Kluyveromyces lactis: one gene and its partners. The protein of the gene in region 4 interacts with the protein of the main gene of each other region in a pairwise test. Links are inferred from orthologs where the notes say so. Each region holds a gene or a part of one and is shown on either strand. Other genes may lie near its edges.

Evidence for each region.
Region 1: the proteins of HSH155 (region 4) and CLF1 interact in a two-hybrid assay, tested with the Saccharomyces cerevisiae proteins (2 studies listed by BioGRID). The link is inferred for Kluyveromyces lactis from reciprocal best matches to the Saccharomyces cerevisiae genes HSH155 and CLF1.
Region 2: the proteins of HSH155 (region 4) and BUD13 interact in binary tests that used the Saccharomyces cerevisiae proteins (3 or more experiments, as listed by UniProt). The link is inferred for Kluyveromyces lactis from reciprocal best matches to the Saccharomyces cerevisiae genes HSH155 and BUD13.
Region 3: the proteins of HSH155 (region 4) and PRP5 interact in a two-hybrid assay, tested with the Saccharomyces cerevisiae proteins (3 studies listed by BioGRID). The link is inferred for Kluyveromyces lactis from reciprocal best matches to the Saccharomyces cerevisiae genes HSH155 and PRP5.
Region 5: the proteins of HSH155 (region 4) and RSE1 interact in binary tests that used the Saccharomyces cerevisiae proteins (3 or more experiments, as listed by UniProt). The link is inferred for Kluyveromyces lactis from reciprocal best matches to the Saccharomyces cerevisiae genes HSH155 and RSE1.

The regions. Positions count from the first base shown.
Region 1 is NC_006042.1:1,644,096-1,648,155, reverse strand, and holds CLF1 (Clf1p), read right to left. Parts: upstream 2,565-4,060; coding exon 510-2,564; downstream 1-509. Other genes in the region: mRNA splicing protein MSL5, read left to right, coding at 1-408; NEDD8 family protein RUB1, read right to left, coding at 2,919-3,003, 3,105-3,253; MTQ2 (S-adenosylmethionine-dependent methyltransferase), read left to right, coding at 3,511-4,060. UniProt on the Saccharomyces cerevisiae protein: Involved in pre-mRNA splicing and cell cycle progression. Required for the spliceosome assembly by promoting the functional integration of the U4/U6.U5 tri-snRNP particle into the U1-, U2-dependent pre-spliceosome.
Region 2 is NC_006042.1:2,095,184-2,097,865, reverse strand, and holds BUD13 (Bud13p), read left to right. Parts: upstream 1-1,366; coding exon 1,367-2,173; downstream 2,174-2,682. Other genes in the region: ssDNA endodeoxyribonuclease SAE2, read right to left, coding at 14-1,063; chromatin-binding exonuclease XRN1, read right to left, coding at 2,270-2,682. UniProt on the Saccharomyces cerevisiae protein: Required for efficient splicing and pre-mRNA nuclear retention. May also be involved in positioning the proximal bud pole signal.
Region 3 is NC_006042.1:966,362-970,376, reverse strand, and holds PRP5 (DEAD-box RNA helicase PRP5), read left to right. Parts: upstream 1-1,202; coding exon 1,203-3,641; downstream 3,642-4,015. Other genes in the region: ABD1 (mRNA (guanine-N7)-methyltransferase), read right to left, coding at 1-573; KLLA0_F10483g (uncharacterized protein), read right to left, coding at 3,676-3,960.
Region 4 is NC_006037.1:834,169-838,452, forward strand, and holds the start of HSH155 (U2 snRNP complex subunit HSH155), read left to right. Parts: upstream 1-1,484; coding exon 1,485-4,284. Other genes in the region: GPI-anchor transamidase subunit GPI16, read right to left, coding at 1-1,218. UniProt on the Saccharomyces cerevisiae protein: Contacts pre-mRNA on both sides of the branch site early in spliceosome assembly.
Region 5 is NC_006037.1:720,804-725,028, forward strand, and holds the start of RSE1 (U2 snRNP complex subunit RSE1), read left to right. Parts: upstream 1-1,413; coding exon 1,414-4,225. Other genes in the region: GSF2 (Gsf2p), read right to left, coding at 1-179. UniProt on the Saccharomyces cerevisiae protein: Involved in G2/M transition. Required for pre-mRNA splicing and endoplasmic reticulum (ER) to Golgi secretion pathway. U2 snRNPs associated protein required for the pre-spliceosome assembly.

The DNA of each region.
Region 1 (4,060 bases), on a different chromosome or scaffold from region 4:
AGATCCGAATCTCTGGCTGCAGAAAATTCAACGTCTGGAATAGGTATCACTGAAGGAAACTTAAATATTGCTACTCCAGGAATGGCACCCCCAGGTTTATCTCCTCCCGGAATGGCAGCACCAGGAATGGCAGCACCAGGAATGGCAGCACCAGGATTGGCAGCACCAGGATTGGCAGCACCAGGATTGGCAGCACCAGGATTGGCAGCACCAGGATTGGCAGCACCAGGATTGGCAGCACCAGGATTGGCAGCAGCACCAGGCAACGTTCCTCCAGGATTAATGCCCCCAGGATCTGTACCGACAATGAATGCACCTGGGCTTACCCCTTCTACGATATCAACACCCAGTTCGATACCGTCAAACCAGTTGCCACAAAGTTTTACCGATAATGAAACGAATAATTAATACAATTCGTATTTTTTCTCAATAGCCTATATGCCAACCTGATTAAATGCGTGTTCTAAATCTACAATTGTATTATCTGTATATGAATATAAAGTTACATATCAGCTGGAATTTTTCTCCCATTGTTTTGCCAAAGCTAGAAGATTTCGAGCAATAGGAGGTTGAGCAACACGATCGTCCGGAAAATCCAATTTATATGACTCTTGCTCAATGTTATCGATAGTAACTTTTTCCCTAACCAAACTTGGTTGTCTAGCATTGACCTTTTCCAAAGTTTCTTGATTACCATGAACTTTCTCATACTCCAGGAGAGATTGTAAAACTTGCTGGCGTTTCTTATCTTCATTATGTTCTTTGAAATATGAAATTGCCTTCTCAAAAATAGCCCTGGTGTGATGCTTATTCTCAGGTGTAATTTCAAAACTGAACTCCTCTTCGCCATCGTCGTCAAAATTCCCGTCTTGATGAGATTGTTGATAGGCTATTAGTTGGGTCTCAGTTGGAATAGTGCTCTCGAAAAGCGCCTGGTTTATCCATATGTTCACGTCATATCTACTCAAAATCAAATACTTCTCGTACAACTCTCTAGCCTTTTCATATTCTGCTGCATCAGTTTCAAAAGCGATATAGCGCTGAATGACAATCAGCTGGTCCGATTCAGATAATCCAACATTATTGCTCATGGAGATATCATAGATCCCTCTTGATCTATCTTCATCTCCTAAATTTTCTTCTAATTCTGCATAATCCAACCATGATTGCACTGAACTAGGATTGAAATCGATGTATTTCTCGTATAGCTTTCTCACTCTATCAAACTCTTTTAGCCTTATCTCCAAATTGATGTAATATTTAAACACTTTTGGCTTGGGGGACTTTCCTAAGCTCACACCCAGAATTTTTCTTGCTTTCAGCAAGTTGTTCTGCCTAATTTCGAATTCTGCATACATTATCCACAGTTTACCGAATGTAAACTTCTTATGTGGAATGATGTCGAGGATGTCTTGATAAACCGAGCGTATCGTAGGCAAATCATTAATGGTGAGCTCTAGATAGACCAAGTATCGTACGCAGATTCTTATGTACCTCTTCCAGCTCGAATCCTTTACCAGGGACTTCGGCTTTGCCAATTCAATGAACGACTGGAAAGCTGATGTCAATTGCTCTTGATATTTTTCCTCAACCAGGTCAATATAGACCCACCAAGTAGAATAATGATAGGGATCTGATTTTAGATATTGCTCGTACTCGGCTTTCCTTTTAGCGATTACTATGTCCTCCATATTTTTCGAAGAGCCGAACTTCTTCTCGAACTGAATCTGCTGTTCCTTTAATGCTTCAGAAATTGGCCATCTTTCAACTGCTAGTCGGTATAACGTTCTAGATCGTTCATACTCTCCCTGAGAAGCTTCCCAGGAAGCGAAGCTACCAATAACTCGTTCAATATCTACCAGTGGTGTTCCGCTGAAACTTGTGAGTGTGTCTAGCGCGAATGAGAACACTGTTCGTACGGATGATATATCTCCATGAGTTTGTTCAAAACGAACCCATTTCAACCAGGTATCTATTTGAGGATGGACTAGAACAAACTTCGAGTAAATGTTCCTGACATTTTCAAAATTCAAGCACCTTGTTTCGAACTCGATGAAGGAGTCCCATGCATCGGGACCAGGTTCAAATGAACACCATCTTGTATAAATGCCTCGTACAATACCCTGATTTCCCAAAGATTCTTCCAATAAAAGATATTTGAACCAGAGCTTATCAACACGAGGAAGAGCGTTTGTTGCTCTGTCTAACAAGTTCCTTGCATGGTTGATATTTTTCCATTTGATTTCACTGTCGATGTATTGAATCCATAGTGGAATAAACCCATGATCAACAAGAAGAGCGCGTTCATAAATGGACCTAGCTCTTCGTATATCTTTCTGATCAAATTCAAATTGAGCATACCTCATCCATTGACGAAGGTCTAACCTATTTCTTTTCAAAACTGTCTCATACTCTGTTCTTTTCCTTCGTTGCCAGTCTTTCAGTTCTTCCAAATCTAATATATCTGCCTTCGTAGTAGCTGCAATCTGCTTCTTTTGGCTAAAGGCATCCTTCAAAATATTATCGGCAGTGATGGCTTCATTGGATAAACTATTGTCACCCATGTTACAGTATAGTCAGGTAAGTTATCCGTGTTTTTCTTACTTTTGTTTGCATCGTTGTCGTTAAGTTCATCTGTTTCTACAATTATAATGTTCGCACTAAATTTGATATCTGAATCATTATGTATTTATAAGGTTCATTCATGCATACAAGGAAAAGCAACAAGCATGTGTTACATCCTTCCTTTGTTTGATAATTGGACGGTCGTGTAAATGTAAATTATGTCATTCATAGTGTTAGCTTCCAATAATTATAGTCGTTTTATTAAATGCAGAGTAATTCCTCCAGGTATTTATCTGCAAAATACTTATACACATACGTATCTTGAGGTTTCGCAATGCAATGACACATGGCTCTCAACAACCGCCTCTTAAAGTTAGAACAAGATGTAAAAGAGATCCATCTTGCAAGTCGGCACTGCCGATTGTTGCGTTATCATCTCTGATTTAAAGATAGCATTACTTACTAGTTAGTAAAAGAGTCCCTACATTAATTTGATATCAAACTCTTCTCAGTTCTGAATTATCAGTTAATTAACATACATTTGTTTGCCCTGGAAGATCAACTTCTGCTGTGATGGTGGAATACCCTCTTTTTCTTCTAATAGCTCTTTGATATGATAGACCGTTTCTGAACTTTGAACATCTACGGAGATTTCCTTCCCTGTTAATGTCTTGACCTTTAATTGCATCTTTCTCAACCACAAACAAGCAACTGATTGTCGATTCTCTGAAAATGGTGATTAATAGTTGTATCAAACAGTAGACTAGTTGTTAAGCTTCAATTTAATTACTTTCTTTTAGATGACCTTTTGCATACGTTATTGTTCAATATCAACTTTTCAAATACAATATTATATATGCGATGACTTCCATGTTTGAAAAGATACAGGTGCAGAACAGATATTGATGCGAGCTATAGCTCATCAGGGCTTAGGATAACAGGGCGATGCTAGCTACACCATACGTCTCTTATGATTATAATAAAGTATACGAGCCAAGCGAGGACTCTTTTCTTTTATTAGATGCATTAGAAGCTGATCTGAGTTGGTTGAATAACAGGTTCAATGACGCAGTACCATTGACTATAGAAATTGGTTCTGGTTCTGGGATAGTCTCTACGTTTCTTATGCAAAATGGTATACCAAACGCCAATGGACTTTATTTGGCAACTGATTTGAACCCTTGGGCATTGGACGCTACCTTAGACACTTGTTCGAAGAATGGTTGCAAGAATAGCCATTTTGATGTATTACAAACAGACCTTACGTCTTCAATAAGGGAAAATGAGGTCGACCTGCTTGTCTTTAATCCACCATATGTACCTGCAGAAACTGTACCAGAACTGCCTCATTCAAATCATGCTGTTCGTGATGATGAGTGGCTCTTTCTAGCATTGGATGGTGGTGATGATGGGATGGTGGTCACACAGAGACTATTGAATGGATTGGACAGAATTCTTAGCTGCAACGGAGTAGCGTACATATTGTTTTGTGCTA
Region 2 (2,682 bases), on a different chromosome or scaffold from region 4:
CTAATACGTCCTTTTATCTGGTGAATATCTTCAATTCGTTTTCATTCCAAGTGAAATTGCCATCGTCAACGATGTCATTCAATTTGGAGTTCCTGAAGTAAAATTCTCTTTCAGATATAGGCACTAAATTATTCGTAGCTTCGAGAAACCGTGTTTTTGTTTTCTGATAAAGCAATTTCCTCGACTCCTCTTTGTCGTCCAATCTTTCTTGGGTGGTTGGGAAGTTAAGCCTTCCATATCCAGGAGGAGATTTTGATCTAACACGTAGATTATCGAAGGAATCGTCAGGAAACTGAAGGTCGGGAACTTTTGACCTGTCTGACACACTAGTTTCGTCGACAGTTTCGAGTAACCCGGTACTGTTTAGTACAACGTTTTGTTTACTTTTCAGTGGTGATCCAGCTTGAGCGTGAAAACGAGCTACTTTATTGGATTTCTTGCATCCCCTTCCTCGATTTTTTGAGGACACTAGTTCATTGATCTTGAAATCTTCATAGATCCAAGGTTTCTTCGTAATTGGATTTATGGAGAAATCAACCGAGATTTTACCCCTTTTAATATTCTCCTTCTCATTGTTCCTATTAGCTTGTGGCATAGTAGTTGCATTTATTGGTGACCTACCACGTTTAGATTTTGCTATGACACTCTGATGTGAATGTTGTATGTTGATATCATTCTCCTTCAAGATGTCTGACGCTTGGGAATCAAGGATAATCTCGTTTTCTTTCAAAGGGGAACTCATCAGCTCTAAATCACGTTGTAGTCCTTGATTACGTTCTCTTGCCAATGGTTCAGCGTGTTCTTGTTCAATAGTACTTTTCACAGTCGCGTTTTTCTTCACATGTATTGGATCAAACTGAGTAGACGGGAGGTCATCATAGCTGCTAAGACCGTCCTTCATGTATTCATCCAAGTCATCTTGAATATTCTGTCCCTGTGGCTGAATTATTTCGACGTACCGTCGATCCATTTCCGATACTAATTGTTTTTGTAAAGAAAGTAACTGAGACCATTCTAATCGATGTAGCCATGCCTCTAGGCTTTCCTCTGATTCTTGACTCATCGCAGTAAAGATTCTTGCCAAGCAGAATCCTGAGAACTCAATATGTGTCCACAGTAAGGGTCTAACAAACTAGCTACAGTACAAAGTGGTGACGCGAAACCTTAGCTCTTTATCGAACTAACAGTTACATTGTTGATATTTTATGCTTTTTTCTGGAAAAGAAAACCTTATTTTGATTTCAGATTAAGGCTAACATGGCTATAGAGCTCCCCAACAGAAGCAGATTCTCAGATGTTTACATAGCTGTAGAGCTTATCACAGCATTTAGGGTGGGTAGAATTGCAAACCGACCCAATTAATATAATGTCACTTAACGATTTTTTGGCGAAGTCTTACGGCTCAAAGCACGGTAAAGAGAAGACGAAAAAGTCTAAGGATAAGTCATCACACAGAAAGAGCGATGAGTCTAAAAGAGTCACATCAAGAAATATTGATATTATTGACAAGGCTAATCTTATTACTGAAGAAAACAAGAAGGCTGCAAGCTCAAATAAAACAGGAAAGTCTCTTTGGAAAAACCTTGAAACTGAAAAGTTGGAACTTGTACAACACGTTGATGTCGACAAAAAGGACGATAGTAAGGAAAGGATGTCGTCAGGCGCCTTTGCTGGGTTACAGACAGCAGAAGAGATGGAAAAGCAGATCGCAGAAAAGGAAAAACTTTCTATGCAAAAATCAGGGCTTCTCAAGAAGAATCAGAACACAGTATATAGAGACGAAAAAGGTAAGGTAATAGATGGATACGAAGAAGAATTGAAACTTCGAGAAAAGGCTAATTTGACAGCGAAAGTACGTAAGGAAGAAGAACTTAAAATACGAAATATAGGCGAAGTACAAATATCAAAACTTGATCGCAAAACTGAGAAAAGTGCATTATTATCAACCGAAGATCCATTGAATCAAGGAAACACCCTGCGAGGAACGAATACGTCACTGTTGGGTCGAAGGCTTTACGAGAAAAACTTTCCAGAAAATCGGTTCGGTATCGTTCCCGGTTATAGATGGGATGGAGTTGATAGATCAAATGGGTTTGAAACTAAGTGGTTTGCTAAGAGTCACGATATCGCTGATCAAAAAATAAAGGAACAAACAACAAACCGGGAATTTTGAAAAGTTGAACCTGAAAGTGTCTCTATTCTTATATACTAAGCATTATTTACTGAAGTGATATAATATTTACTGTTAATAGTCCATTCAAACCAACATTCAGGTTTCAGTTTTTTTAGGAGAATTTTTGAAATGACCACCCCTCCCGGAGGCACCACGACCACGATTACTACGGCCACGACGACCGCCACGAGAATGAGAAGATCTCTTTGTATCATCTGAGTCTTTATTCTCCACATTTGCTGTACGTCCATTCTCATCTCTAATTAGGAGATTCTTAAGATTCCTGGATGCCTCTTTATCTAATGGTGGATTTTGTACAGGTTGTGACTGAGGAGGAGCTGCATAAGCAATATGCTCATTATTCGGAATGAAAGGCGGCTGCATCATAAGAGGATGAGGAATACCACCAGGAACCATATGTGGGGGAACAGTGAAATTGTAAGGCAGAGAATTTGCTGGAGGTGGTTGAATTTGCTGTTGAGAACCTGGTTTGATTTGGTTCAAGACGG
Region 3 (4,015 bases), on a different chromosome or scaffold from region 4:
GTCAATACCAATAAACTGTGATATTCCTGCGGCACCATATTTCCTTAAATCACCACCTTTACCACAGGCAAGCTCCAAGACTACATCTCCTGCTCTTGTAAACTTGTCAATGAGAATGTACTTGATAGCATTATTAAAGTTTCTAAGTTTAATGATAGGAGAATAATTTCTGTTATGCTTTTTGGAAAGAAACGTACGCTCATTATAATGTTGCCTGACAACATGGTCAACATTCACGACTCTATTAGCTGTCATTTCAATATCATGATGTTTTATTTGTTCTTCTATAGTCTTCTGCAGCCTCAGCTTTTTCTTCTTCTCTTCTAAATCAAATCGCTGATGTTTCCTGTTGCGCACCTTGCTATTTTTGTCGTCATCTTGAACTTCTGGTACTGAAAGCTTTGCTATTCTTTCCTGCGTCGAATATCCGATGCTACTTTCTTTGGGTTGTAATGCTAGCTGTTTGTCCTCATGATTGCACTTCTCTGATTCTTTCAATTTAAGCAACGAACCATATTGCTCTTCATATTGTTGCTGGGACATCCATACTGGCTTCTCAGGTAGTAACACCATGCTGACAGCTTGCGCAATTGATATGTCGCGGCCTGTTTCGAAAGCCTTATTGAACTCCAAGTCAGTGTTACCTTCTTGGAATGAAACTACTTTTATGACATTCTAAAGATCGACTATATAGAAATATTAACGGGAAAGCTAAACTAAAAAAGGCTAAATCGCTTAGGGAATGATGGGATCAGGCATTTACAAAAGAAGTATGCTGTTTAACGTATAGGATGCTTCAGCTTCATTTCCATATTCGAATGTTTCATGAAGAGTCCTTTCAACTGCTCTCATATAGCATTTTTTAATCCTTGTACATTTTGACTTCAGATGTCACTTTGGAAGTTGTTATTTAAGACTAAATGAAGAAATAATGAATAGATGCTTTAGAAGATCAGTCAACTTTAGACACTATAACAAAGAATATAGACAATTGTCATATGAACTGAATGCAATGAACTAGGTAGCGTGTTTCCCATCTTCATTTAGTAGTTTAAAATACCCATTTGGAAAGGATTTCCTTCAATATCAAAATACCTATAATATTGAATTAACAAAACCTTAAAACCATTCAGGATTAATACTTGAAAGATAGCACACAGAAAGAAGAAAAAAGACCCAATTAAATTACGAAGGTGAGCGTTATGGATCAAACGGAAAAGCTACGGATTAGGCAAGAGAAACTTGCTAAGTGGAAAAAACAGAAACTGAATAATGATGTTACAGCATCTGTTTCTGTAGATGCTAAGGAAGAGAGACTGAAGAAACTAGAGGCATGGAAGAAGAAGAAGAAACAACAAGATGAACTCAAGCAAAAGGATATAAAACTTACCAGTATAAAGTCTGCGGATAGGGACAGGAACAAACGAAGGGGACAGTGTTCGAGAAAACGTCCTGCTTTTGGGGGAAGTGATAGTGAATCTGATGATGAAAATTCCACATCAACGTTATTCAAGCCGCGTAGAAACGATACAAATACTCATGTTCTGACAAAAGACAACAGCAAGGATGATTTGGATGATGGGAATGATGCATTGGATGAATATATCCACAAGCTTATCGATAAAGATTCGAATACTAACCGAGTAAGACTTATTGATAATATTTCAGAGGATGAAGATGCTAACGACAGTAGCTCAGAGAAAACGATATCTCAAGAGGAAGCTCCGGTTGATTCAGAGATATTATTCAAAAAGAAGGGTAGAAAGAAAATAAAAGCCATTGATTACTCTAAAGTTTTAAACTTAATAACATTAAATAAATGTCTTTATCGTGAACCGAACGATTTGGGATTGATGTCAGAGAAAGATGTGGAGGAACTTCGATTATCATTAGATAACATTAAAATCTCAGGGAAAGATTGTCCCAAACCTGTAACGAAATGGTCACAGCTTGGTTTGTCCTCTGAAATCATGGATCTTATCTCCAACGAACTACAGTTTGTAACCCTCACACCAATTCAATGCCAGGCAATACCGGCTATTATGTCAGGCAGAGATGTTATTGGTATCTCAAAAACTGGGTCAGGGAAAACGGTCGCTTTTCTCCTACCACTTGTTAGACAGATCAAGGCTCAGCCACCTTTAGCTCCTGATGAGACTGGTCCTATTGGTCTTATATTGACACCGACCAGAGAATTGGCCGTTCAGATACAAGAAGAGGCACTTAAATTTTGTAAAGGGTCTGGCATTTCAAGCATCTGTTGCGTGGGAGGCTCGGAGTTAAAGCAACAAATCAATGAATTGAAAAGAGGTGTTGATATCATTGTCGCAACTCCAGGGAGATTCATTGATCTTATGACATTAAATTCAGGCCATTTGTTATCTCCTACAAGAATTTCGTTTGTTGTTATGGATGAGGCAGATAGACTTTTCGACCTTGGATTTGGACCCCAAGTCAACCAAATTATGGGCTGCATCCGTCCAGACAAGCAGTGTGTTCTCTTTAGTGCTACATTTCCAAGTAAGCTCAAACATTTTGCATCGCGAACCTTAAAGAATCCTATTCAAATTACTATAAACTCTAAATCACTTATTAATGAGAACATTCAGCAGAGAGTCCAAATTTTTGATGAGGAACATGTTAAATTTGAGTTCCTACTTAAAAGGCTTTCGGATCGGTTAGCCTTGCATCGTGGTGAAGATGAAAAGACAATTATTTTCGTTGGAAGCCAGCAGCTTTGTGACCTTTTATATGACGAGCTTTTACTTAATGGCATCACCACTTTTCCTATCCATGCTGGCAAACCTTCTGCAGAACGTCTTCGCAACTTGCAAAAATTCAAAGAAACTGACAACGGAATTTTGATATGTACTGAGGTACTCTCAAGAGGTCTAAACGTGCCAGAGGTTTCTCTTGTCATTATATACAATGCGGCAAAGACCATCGCACAATACGTTCATACCGTAGGAAGAACTGGTCGTGGGACTAATAACGGCGTTGCGCTCTCCTTCGTTATGGTTGATGAACTTGCATCTGCCTATATTTTGGTGAAGTGCATGAAAGAGAACGAGTTGAGCTCTGTGCCGATGGTTGTCTATCAAAAATTGAAGGAAATGAACGACGAATTTTCGAGTGGACTAAAGACTGGAAAATACAGATTGATCCAGGGTTTTGGTGGAAAAGGTCTTGATCACTTAGACGAGCTAAACGAAGCAAAACAGTCTCAAGAATATACTGACTATGGTGTCGTTGAAAATGAAGAAGATGTGACAGAGGAAGAAAGCGGAGCAACCAAAATGGAATACACAAGAGGTAAAAGGGAAGAAGGACATTCCACAACATATTTTGCACATATAAATATTAACGACCTTCCGCAACTTGCGAGGTGGGAAGCAACGAAAACAGAGACAGTCTCGAACATCAAACAGGAGACAGGATGTAATTTTGAGAGTAAAGGTAGCTTCTACCCTGAAGGAAAAGGGCCAAAGAATGACACTGATGATCCTAAATTGTATTTGATTGTGGAAGGTGCAGAAGAAAGTGACGTAACAATGGCATTAGAACTCCTCAATACAAAGGTTAAAGAGGGAATACGAAAAGCAGCAGTGAAGGATATCCAATCAGGTAAATATCGTATGTAATTTAGTTTCAATTTCAATCATTCACCAACATGTTTCATTTCTGCGCAATTTCCATCACATGCGTTTTCCTGGATTTGGCACGCTCATGGGCTAGTTTCTGACTCAATTCACTTTTGGCGTTGGCAGCTTCAAGTTTAGCATTTCGCTGTTCAGCGGCCACTCTTGCAGCTTCTCTTGGAGATAAGGTATGGTGACTTTGCGTGACATCAATCGGTCTTCCCGTGCTCTTTTTTGATGTAGTTTTGTTATTTGATTTTGGTGCTGAACTATCAGCGGCCAACGGCACACCTTTACTAGGCTTACTACCACATAGACCCATCGGCAGTATGACTTAGCAATGGCTTCTCTTTTTTCGTTCTATCCTGTACGTTTTA
Region 4 (4,284 bases):
AACATCATGTGGTTTGTTATTGTTGAGATCGAAACAGTTGTCGTCGGTTGCAAAATATGATTCGTCGACCTGTATCATAACGTCCCAATGTGAGGGAACGTGAACACATATTTTTGAGCTTTGTTCGCCAAGCAAGCTGCCTCCACGGATTTTCTTACCAAATAGTTTTGAGATGCTGAAACTAACTTCTTTGCTTTGAGGTAACGGGAAACATTGGAACGCGTCGTGTGGTCTATTCGTGTCACAACGAAGTTCGTCGCCTGGTAAAGGCTTCGGAATTGGTCTGTCAGCTCTGGCCAAAGCATTTGGTACGTTGACCACTGTTTCGATAAATTCTTCCATAACAAAGTGGCAATTGGCAGTTGATTCGTCACAAACAGTATTGACATCAATCGACAGACTGTGCCAATTTGAATCAAAGATCTTGTGGCCATCTAACAAAGAGGAGATACCAGATTTCCCTCTTGTTGGTAAAAGTTTTACAAATGGGGTCAAATTTTCAGTACAAACCGGTTCGTTGGCTAAAGTTGCTCTCATGAGGTAAAGATGGTTGCTTTGATTCAGTAGTGGGATCGCTTCGTCTTCTTTCGGTAAGAATGATGATACCGGAAACGTCGTCTTTGAAGTGTCAATGAAATTGATGGAAGCACAGAACAATCCACTTAACGAATTGGCCAACGTTATCCATGATTTCAACGCTTCTTCCTTCGATGGTGCTTCCACAATAGCCCATAATTCCACACCTGTTCCTCCAGATTTCAACCCGTTGTGTGGAAGCTGGCCCCATTCTTGTGAATCCCATAGCCCATGTGTAAATCTCAAGTGTAACTGTCTGGTATTAGTCTGTGACATAATGGGCCCAACGGGCTTCGGGAAAACTGTGTGATGAGAGTATTCACTGGATTCGTGCTGGTCTCTATCTATACCAAATGGCTCTGATTGCATATAGAACTGAAAACTTGCAAGCAAAAAGTTGTTAGGCAAGGGAGTTAGATCCAGATGCTCTCGAAAATTATACTCAATAGGATGCTCTAGTGAAAGAAACTTCGAGGACTGTGTTATTCTCGATGATTCCCCAGGCTCTGCATTCCAGCTTTCATCTATAACATCTTGCTGAACTGATTCTGTTTCGTTGTCAACTGGATTAACTTCAAAGTCTACTTCAGCCGTCACGATGGCTGCTAGAAGCAAAACTGGAATCCAATTTTGTAACCTCATGCGGTATGGACCCAGAGTATAATACTTTTCTAAAAGTTAGGCTATTTTCTGGCCTCTTAACTAAACTATCCTCTTTTCTCTGTTGAGAAGTATCGTTCTTTGTTTTGTATATGTGTTTATAATTAAAGATTCGAGTTACAACTTAGTAACAATTTTGATGTCAAGAACCTTTGAATCAAAAGGAAGAAAGGTATAACTGAAAGGCAAGCACCAATCAGGATCTTTATTGCTATTGCCGAGTTTGGTATTAAACAGCTGTACTTAAAATGGAAGCTATCAAGTTCGAAAAGTCGGGCCAGCGACATTCTCTTACAGGACAATACACTGCTCCCAGAGCCATATTGGAATCGACTGTAGGGAAAGATGAGGGGGATGATGAGTTGACAGCCAACCAGAAGCAACGAAGCTTGTATAATAAACAGTCTGATTATCATAAGAGAAGGTTCCTTAGGAATTTGGATGAAGAAGTGGATGAAGAGCAAGTGAAAGATGTGAAAAGAAGGAAAACCGATAAGGATGGTGATAAGGAAGAGGAAAGTGGCGGTGGATATACGATGCCCAAGACTTCGCAGCATATTATAACTGAGCTCTCGGAAGAGATGGTTACTGAAGTTCCAGGGGTACGTAATCTTCAGTTCTTTAAGCCTTCAGACAGACAACATTTCGCAATTTTGTTTGATGAAAGGTCTCCAGAAGATATGACTGAAGAGGAAAGGAAACAGAAACAGGTTTTAAAATTGGTACTTAAGGTGAAAAATGGGTTACCAAGCTCTAGGAAAATAGCTCTCAGAGCACTCACTCAAAAGGCACCCTCTTTCGGGGCACCATTGTTATTTGATTCGATCTTGCCCATTCTTCTCGATAAAACACTTGAAGATGAAGAGCATCAACTAATGTTGAAACTTATGGATAGAATTCTTTTCCAGCTCCAGGATTTGGTAAAACCATATACACATAAGCTCCTAATAGTATTATGTCCTATGCTTATAGATCCTGTGCCCTTGACTAGATCTACAGGTAGAGATATTATAACTACTTTGGCAAAAGCCGTGGGACTACCGACAATGATATACACAATGAGACCAGATCTCGACCATGAGGATGAGTATGTGCGAAACACGACGGCGAGAGCAATGGCCGTTGTATCGAAAGCCTTCGGGGTAAGTCAAACAATACCATTCCTACGATTGGTTTGTAGATCGAAAAAGAGCTGGAAGGCAAGACATACTGGGATAAAGATAATTCAGCAAATTGCTATTTTAGTAGGGATTGGTAGCTTACCATACCTCGACGATCTTATCGCATGTATAGAGAAGGGATTTCAAGATGAACATCCTCCAGTGAGAATCATAGCCGCTCAAACAGTGTCATCATTGGCACAAAGCTGCCAGCCATATGGTATTGAGCGCTTTAATCCGGTCCTCGAACCACTTTGGAGAGGTGTTAAACAAAACAGGGGAAGAGAACTAGCTGCATTTTTGAAGGCTCTAGGATTTCTCATTCCGTTGATGGATCCCGAATATGCGTCGTATTACGCTGAAGAAGTGATGAAGATTGTAAAGAGAGAATTCAATTCACCGAACGAAGATATGAAGAAAACGGTTCTATTTGTTATACAAAAGCTTTCCGTGACTGAAGGTGTAACACCTCAGTATCTGAGAAAAGAGCTAGCAGCAGAGTTTTTCAAACAATTTTGGGTTCGTAGATCGGCTTTGGATCGTCAACTCAACAACATAGTAACATTTACTACTGTTTTATTGGCTAATAAGACTGGAGCTGCATTCACGCTTGAAAAGCTTATATATCCATTAAAGGATGAATCTGAACCGTTCAGAACAATGGGTGCACATGCAGTTAACAGAGTTGTGAAAGCATTAGGAATGACAGATGTTGATGAAAGGCTTGAAGCGAGGTTGCTTGATGCTTTACTTATTGCATTCCAAGATCAAACGAATGGTGAGAGAATTGTCTACAGATCTATTGGAACTGTCGCCAAATCTTTGAATACCAGAATGAAACCGTATATTTCGCCGGTGTCAAGTATTATTCTAGAACATTTGAAACACAAAAAACCTTTGGTTAGAACACATGCGGCGAGTTTATGTGCCCTCTTGATCCCGGTTTTCAAACACTGTGAAGAAACAGCTCTTATCAATAAATTCAACATTATCCTTTTTGAATCGTTAGGCGAAGTTTATCCAGAGGTGTTAGCTGCAATCATTTCCGCAATGGACAAAGCTGCTGCACAGATAAGGCTAACTGACTTACAACCACCTCCGAATCAAATTTTACTATCATTGACACCAATTTTGAGAAACAACCATCCTTTAGTCCAGGAATCTACTGTTAAACTTGTTGGAAGAATTGCCAGGCGTGGGCCTGAATATGTTTCTCCTAAAGAATGGATGCGCATTTGTTCTGAGCTTTTGGAAATGTTAAAAAGTCCTGTGAAGTCCATCAGGGTGGCAGCGAACAGAACATTTGGATATATTGCCAAAGCGATAGGACCTCAGGATGTTTTGGTAACGTTGTTAAATAATTTGAAGGTGCAAGAACGTCAACTTCGTGTTAACACCTCTATTGCAATTGGTATCGTTGCTAAGACATGTGGGCCATTTGTTGTCATACCTGCATTGATGAATGAATACAGAACACCTGACACAAACGTACAGAACGGTATTTTAAAGGCACTTGCCTTTATTTTAGAATACATTGGTCCCATGTCTAAGGATTACATTTATCCACTTATACCGTTGTTGCAGGATGCTCTAACAGATAGGGACTTGGTTCATCGACAAACTGCAGCAACCTGCATAAAGCATTTAGCTTTCAATTGTGCAGGAAGAGGATTAGAGGACGCGTTCATCCATTGCATGAATTTATTATTGCCAAACGTCTTTGAAACTTCACCTCATGTTATTTCCAGAATCCTAGAGGGGCTAGAAGGACTAAGAATGGCTCTAGGACCAGGTGTTTCTATGAATTATGCCTGGGGAGGTTTATTTCATCCTGCTAAGAATGTTCGGAACGCATATTGGAAACTATATAACGGAGCATACGTCGCTC
Region 5 (4,225 bases), about 110 kb from region 4:
TTCCTGAAACCAGATGGTTCGTTCTTATAAAAAATTGATGGCTTCAAAACCATAAACCTTGAAAGACCCTTTTCCTTATTAAATATTAAGGCAATTTTTTGTTCTAAAGTATCATCTTTTTGTACTTGAAACGCATAATCGTACTCTAAATCATCATTCATACGCACGTAAACCTCCATTGCGACTAGTTTGCTATTGGTTATTGATGTTAATTTTCCCACAAAACCGGAAATATTCGCCTTCCTCTCTGATAAATCTTGAAAAAGTACTGAGTATAGTAACTAGCACTGCTTTGTTGTAATCTGATCTTAACCTTATACCGTCTCTGGTTGGTTCGGATGGCAAATTTGCTTTGGTGTAGTAAATTACACTCTAGAGTTCAGCCTTTTATCCTAGAAGAAAACATTTCGTACTTACCAAGTTTTAGCATATGTCATGTTTCCGTTATTATATATTATTAAGGTTTTTCCTGGTGAAAAGGAACGGACACACAGAGAGGAAGAAGAAAAAAATAAACACACACACAGAGCTGATCTGCCAATATGAGTCCACCCGATATCTGTATGCGGCCGATTAATATTTCCCCAGTAACAATGTATAAATCAACGTGTAGAGACAGACAAAGAGTTTTCTCATACTTGCTCCTCTGACCAGAAGAGAAAGTCAAAAAAACCAATACAGAGTGTCTACCAGTCAAGCTATGGCATTTGAATCCTCATACGGTGTTTTTCTTTTCTGAAGAAGAGAAACACCTACTTAGAGTTAGTAGCGTAATACGCCTTGTGCTTTGAACTTGGTGAACCATATTTACGTTTCTGCACCATCAGGTGCACATTTGTGGGGTTACCAAAACGTGATACCGTTTAACGACACCAGTGCCAGAGCCAGTGCCGGTAAGGGAACAAGTAGTATCGAATTACATGCTGATCTCGTAATGGATTAAAACAATGACTGTGTGCCTTTCTTTCTCAACGTACAAGCATGCCTGTACGCTCTCTTCATCGTAAGTTTTTCCGTCCATATGGAGCGATAAACAGCCTTTGCGTATGTTTCTGTGTTTTCTTATTCCGCTTTGAACGAGCACTTCGCTCCTGCTCCAACAGAAGTTTTTCCGAAACAATGTGGAGTCTCATGTCATTCTGGTCACGTGATCGCATCTTTTCGTGTGACGTGATGTCAGGGTAACATGTTGTTGACTTTTTGGGATTTGTTGGTCACGTGTAAGTTTTTGAAATAGTATTTCCTAACTTCTTCATAAGGGCGGCAAAAAACCAAATCTGAAAGTAAACAAAGTAACTAACAACAGCGCACTTCTTGAGTGCAAGTTGACGAACAACACTACTGATTACCATCAGTATACACCTCTGATCATCGTCTGAAGCGTGTGTTTAGTTACCCGCTAACGAAGATCGGATGACTCAGGACTCTGAAGTGTTGCTATGGCACACTGTTTTACAACGACATAGGAACTACGTTCATTCCTGCATCGGTGATTTTACTTTGGATAGATCATCATTAGCGACAGCAGAAGCTGATACAACAAGTGTTAAGGGACCGAGGTCATCGAAGAAGCGGAAGGAACTGCAATTATGTCTAGCTACACAGGATTGTGTCGAATTGTACGATGTTAGCAATGGAACATTGGATGCGTTGGGTAAATGGCCTATAGCAGCTACTATTCTTTCTATGACCAAGTTGAATATGGATAGATGTTCACATACGATTTTGGTGTTGATAACTGATTCTGGGAATTTAACATTTTGGCAGTTTGAGAGGGATTCCGTGAGCGGGAAAGTGTACGTGCGTACTTTGGCAAACGAACCGATTTCCAGATCTGGGATCAGAAGGTTTGTACCTCAATATCAAATGGTTTCGGATCCACAGAGTAGATGTGTATTTTTCAGTGGGATTGAGCGTTCAAAGATGTGCGTGTTGGCTGACTGGCAACGTGGGAAATTGGTTGTTGGTTCTCCTATAGAGATTCAACGAAGTGATAGAATCACTTTGGCATCGGCAGCTTGTGATGTAAGTTTTGATAATCCGGTGAATGCTGCCATAGAGGTAGAATCTGGGACAAATGATTACTATTTGTCTTTTTATACAATGGATTTGGGTCTTAACACGTTGCTACTCCGGAAAGAGCATCTTTTAGAGGATAAATCCATCAATTTCGTTATGCAATGCCCAAATTTACAACAGTATAAGATTAAAACTAGACCGAATGATGAAACTGATCAAGATTCGGTAAATCCATTTGTTATTTGTGGTTATGATGGATACTTGACTCTGATAGACTTAGAAGGCTTTTATGAAGTGTCTGTTCAACTCCCCGTCAGAAAAACTGTTTCGTCAACTAATATCATCAACGGTACTATTCATAAATTGAAGAAAGATTTTTTCATCCTAATGCAGTCTAACCACGGAGATATGTACAAGGTCGGAATTATCCCTGATGAAGAAACTAAGGCGCCAGTTCTTGAAATTGCATACTTTGATACACTCCCCACTTCTGAAGACATCCACATTTTCAAGTCAGGTGCTCTTTTCAACGTATCAGAATTCGGGACCTCTTATTTAACACAGTTCGAAAGTCTTGGTGAAGATCTAGAAAAAATTACATCTTATACCCCGGGAAGGAGATCATTTATTGAAACAGAGTCCACTTTGAAAAACCTATCCATTCTTGACTCCTTAACTTCTTTAAATCCCTTGACGTCATTTCATGCATCAAATTCGACACCACTCACGATATTGGCTGCAGCCAATCAAACTGAGAATCTTGTTAAATTGACTTCTGCGGTTGATTTTGAAGAACTTATATCAACTACATTACCTAGAATACCATCAAAACTTTGGACCGTTAGAATTCCTAAAAACGAAACTCACAGTCTGATATTTCTTTCTATGGAAACCTCAACGACCATCTTGAAGATCCATGAGGGAACTGTCGAAGATTTTGGTGGAGATTCAAACCCATTTATTTTGAACAAACCATCATTGTTTGTTGGCGCTATGGTTCAAAGAAGTATTATTCAAGTTACTCGGGATTGTCTTTTACAAATTATTGAAATGCATGATGGTCCATACACCAAAAAACTTGAATGGTATCCACCAGCTGGTGTTGGCATCGTGACAGCATTTTGTAATGAGACACAGTTAGTTGTCGCTTTAACAAATCATGAAATATGCTATTTTGAAATCATAGAAGATTCGTTAAACGAATTACAGGATCGAGTGGAGATGGATTCTACAGTGAATTCTATTGCATTGCTCGCCGGTCAAAAGTCAGGCTATTGTGTATTAGGATGTGAAGATTCTAGTCTGCAGATTCTCAACTTACAGAGTAAACATCCAGATTTTTTCACTATCTGTGCTATTCAGTCACTAATATCAAAACCGCACTCTCTACTTTTCATGCGGGACACGTCGGATCTTAAGATCCACGTAGGTATGAAAAGTGGTGTTTATCTGTCATCTAAACTCAATATCAATGATGGCACAGTGTTCGATGTACGTACTAGATTTGTCGGAACGAAGCCCGTCCAGGTAAATCTCTTGGACAATATAGATATCAATCACAAAGATGATGATGATGATGAACCTGGAGAAAATGATTCAAAAATAGACGATTTCAAGAAGAAGATTTCGGATTTCACTCCACTAGTGGTATTGAATTCAAGCATATCTTGGGTAACTTACGAAATTGATGATAAAATCACATTACGTCCTTTGAAAACAGATGAGGGGATAACCTTGAAACATATAAATGCTTTTATCACGGATGATATCAAGCGCAACGGCTGCTGTTCCATAACCAGCAAAGGGCAACTCCTAATCGGCAAATTAGATAACTTTTTGTCCTGGAGTAACTGGTTCAATGAGAAAAAGTATACCCTTGTTAATGACGAACTTAAAAACGCTGGCAATGAAGAAGAGGATGAAGATGAGGATGAAGATGAGGATGAAGATGCAAGTGAGAAGTACGAAATCGTTGGTTATCAATCACAACGGATCCTTTCAGATACAACGGACAATTCGTTATCATATGTTATTTCAAAGACAGCTAATAAAGAAACCAGTCTATCAGCTATTCGCGATGATAAGCTATTGGCAACAAACAATGGGAATACGGTCGTGATTATTGCTAAAGAGGTCTTTAATGCTGTCTGTAGTTGCAATTTCGGTACAAATGTTAAATATATTGTCATATCTACTGAATCAGGGA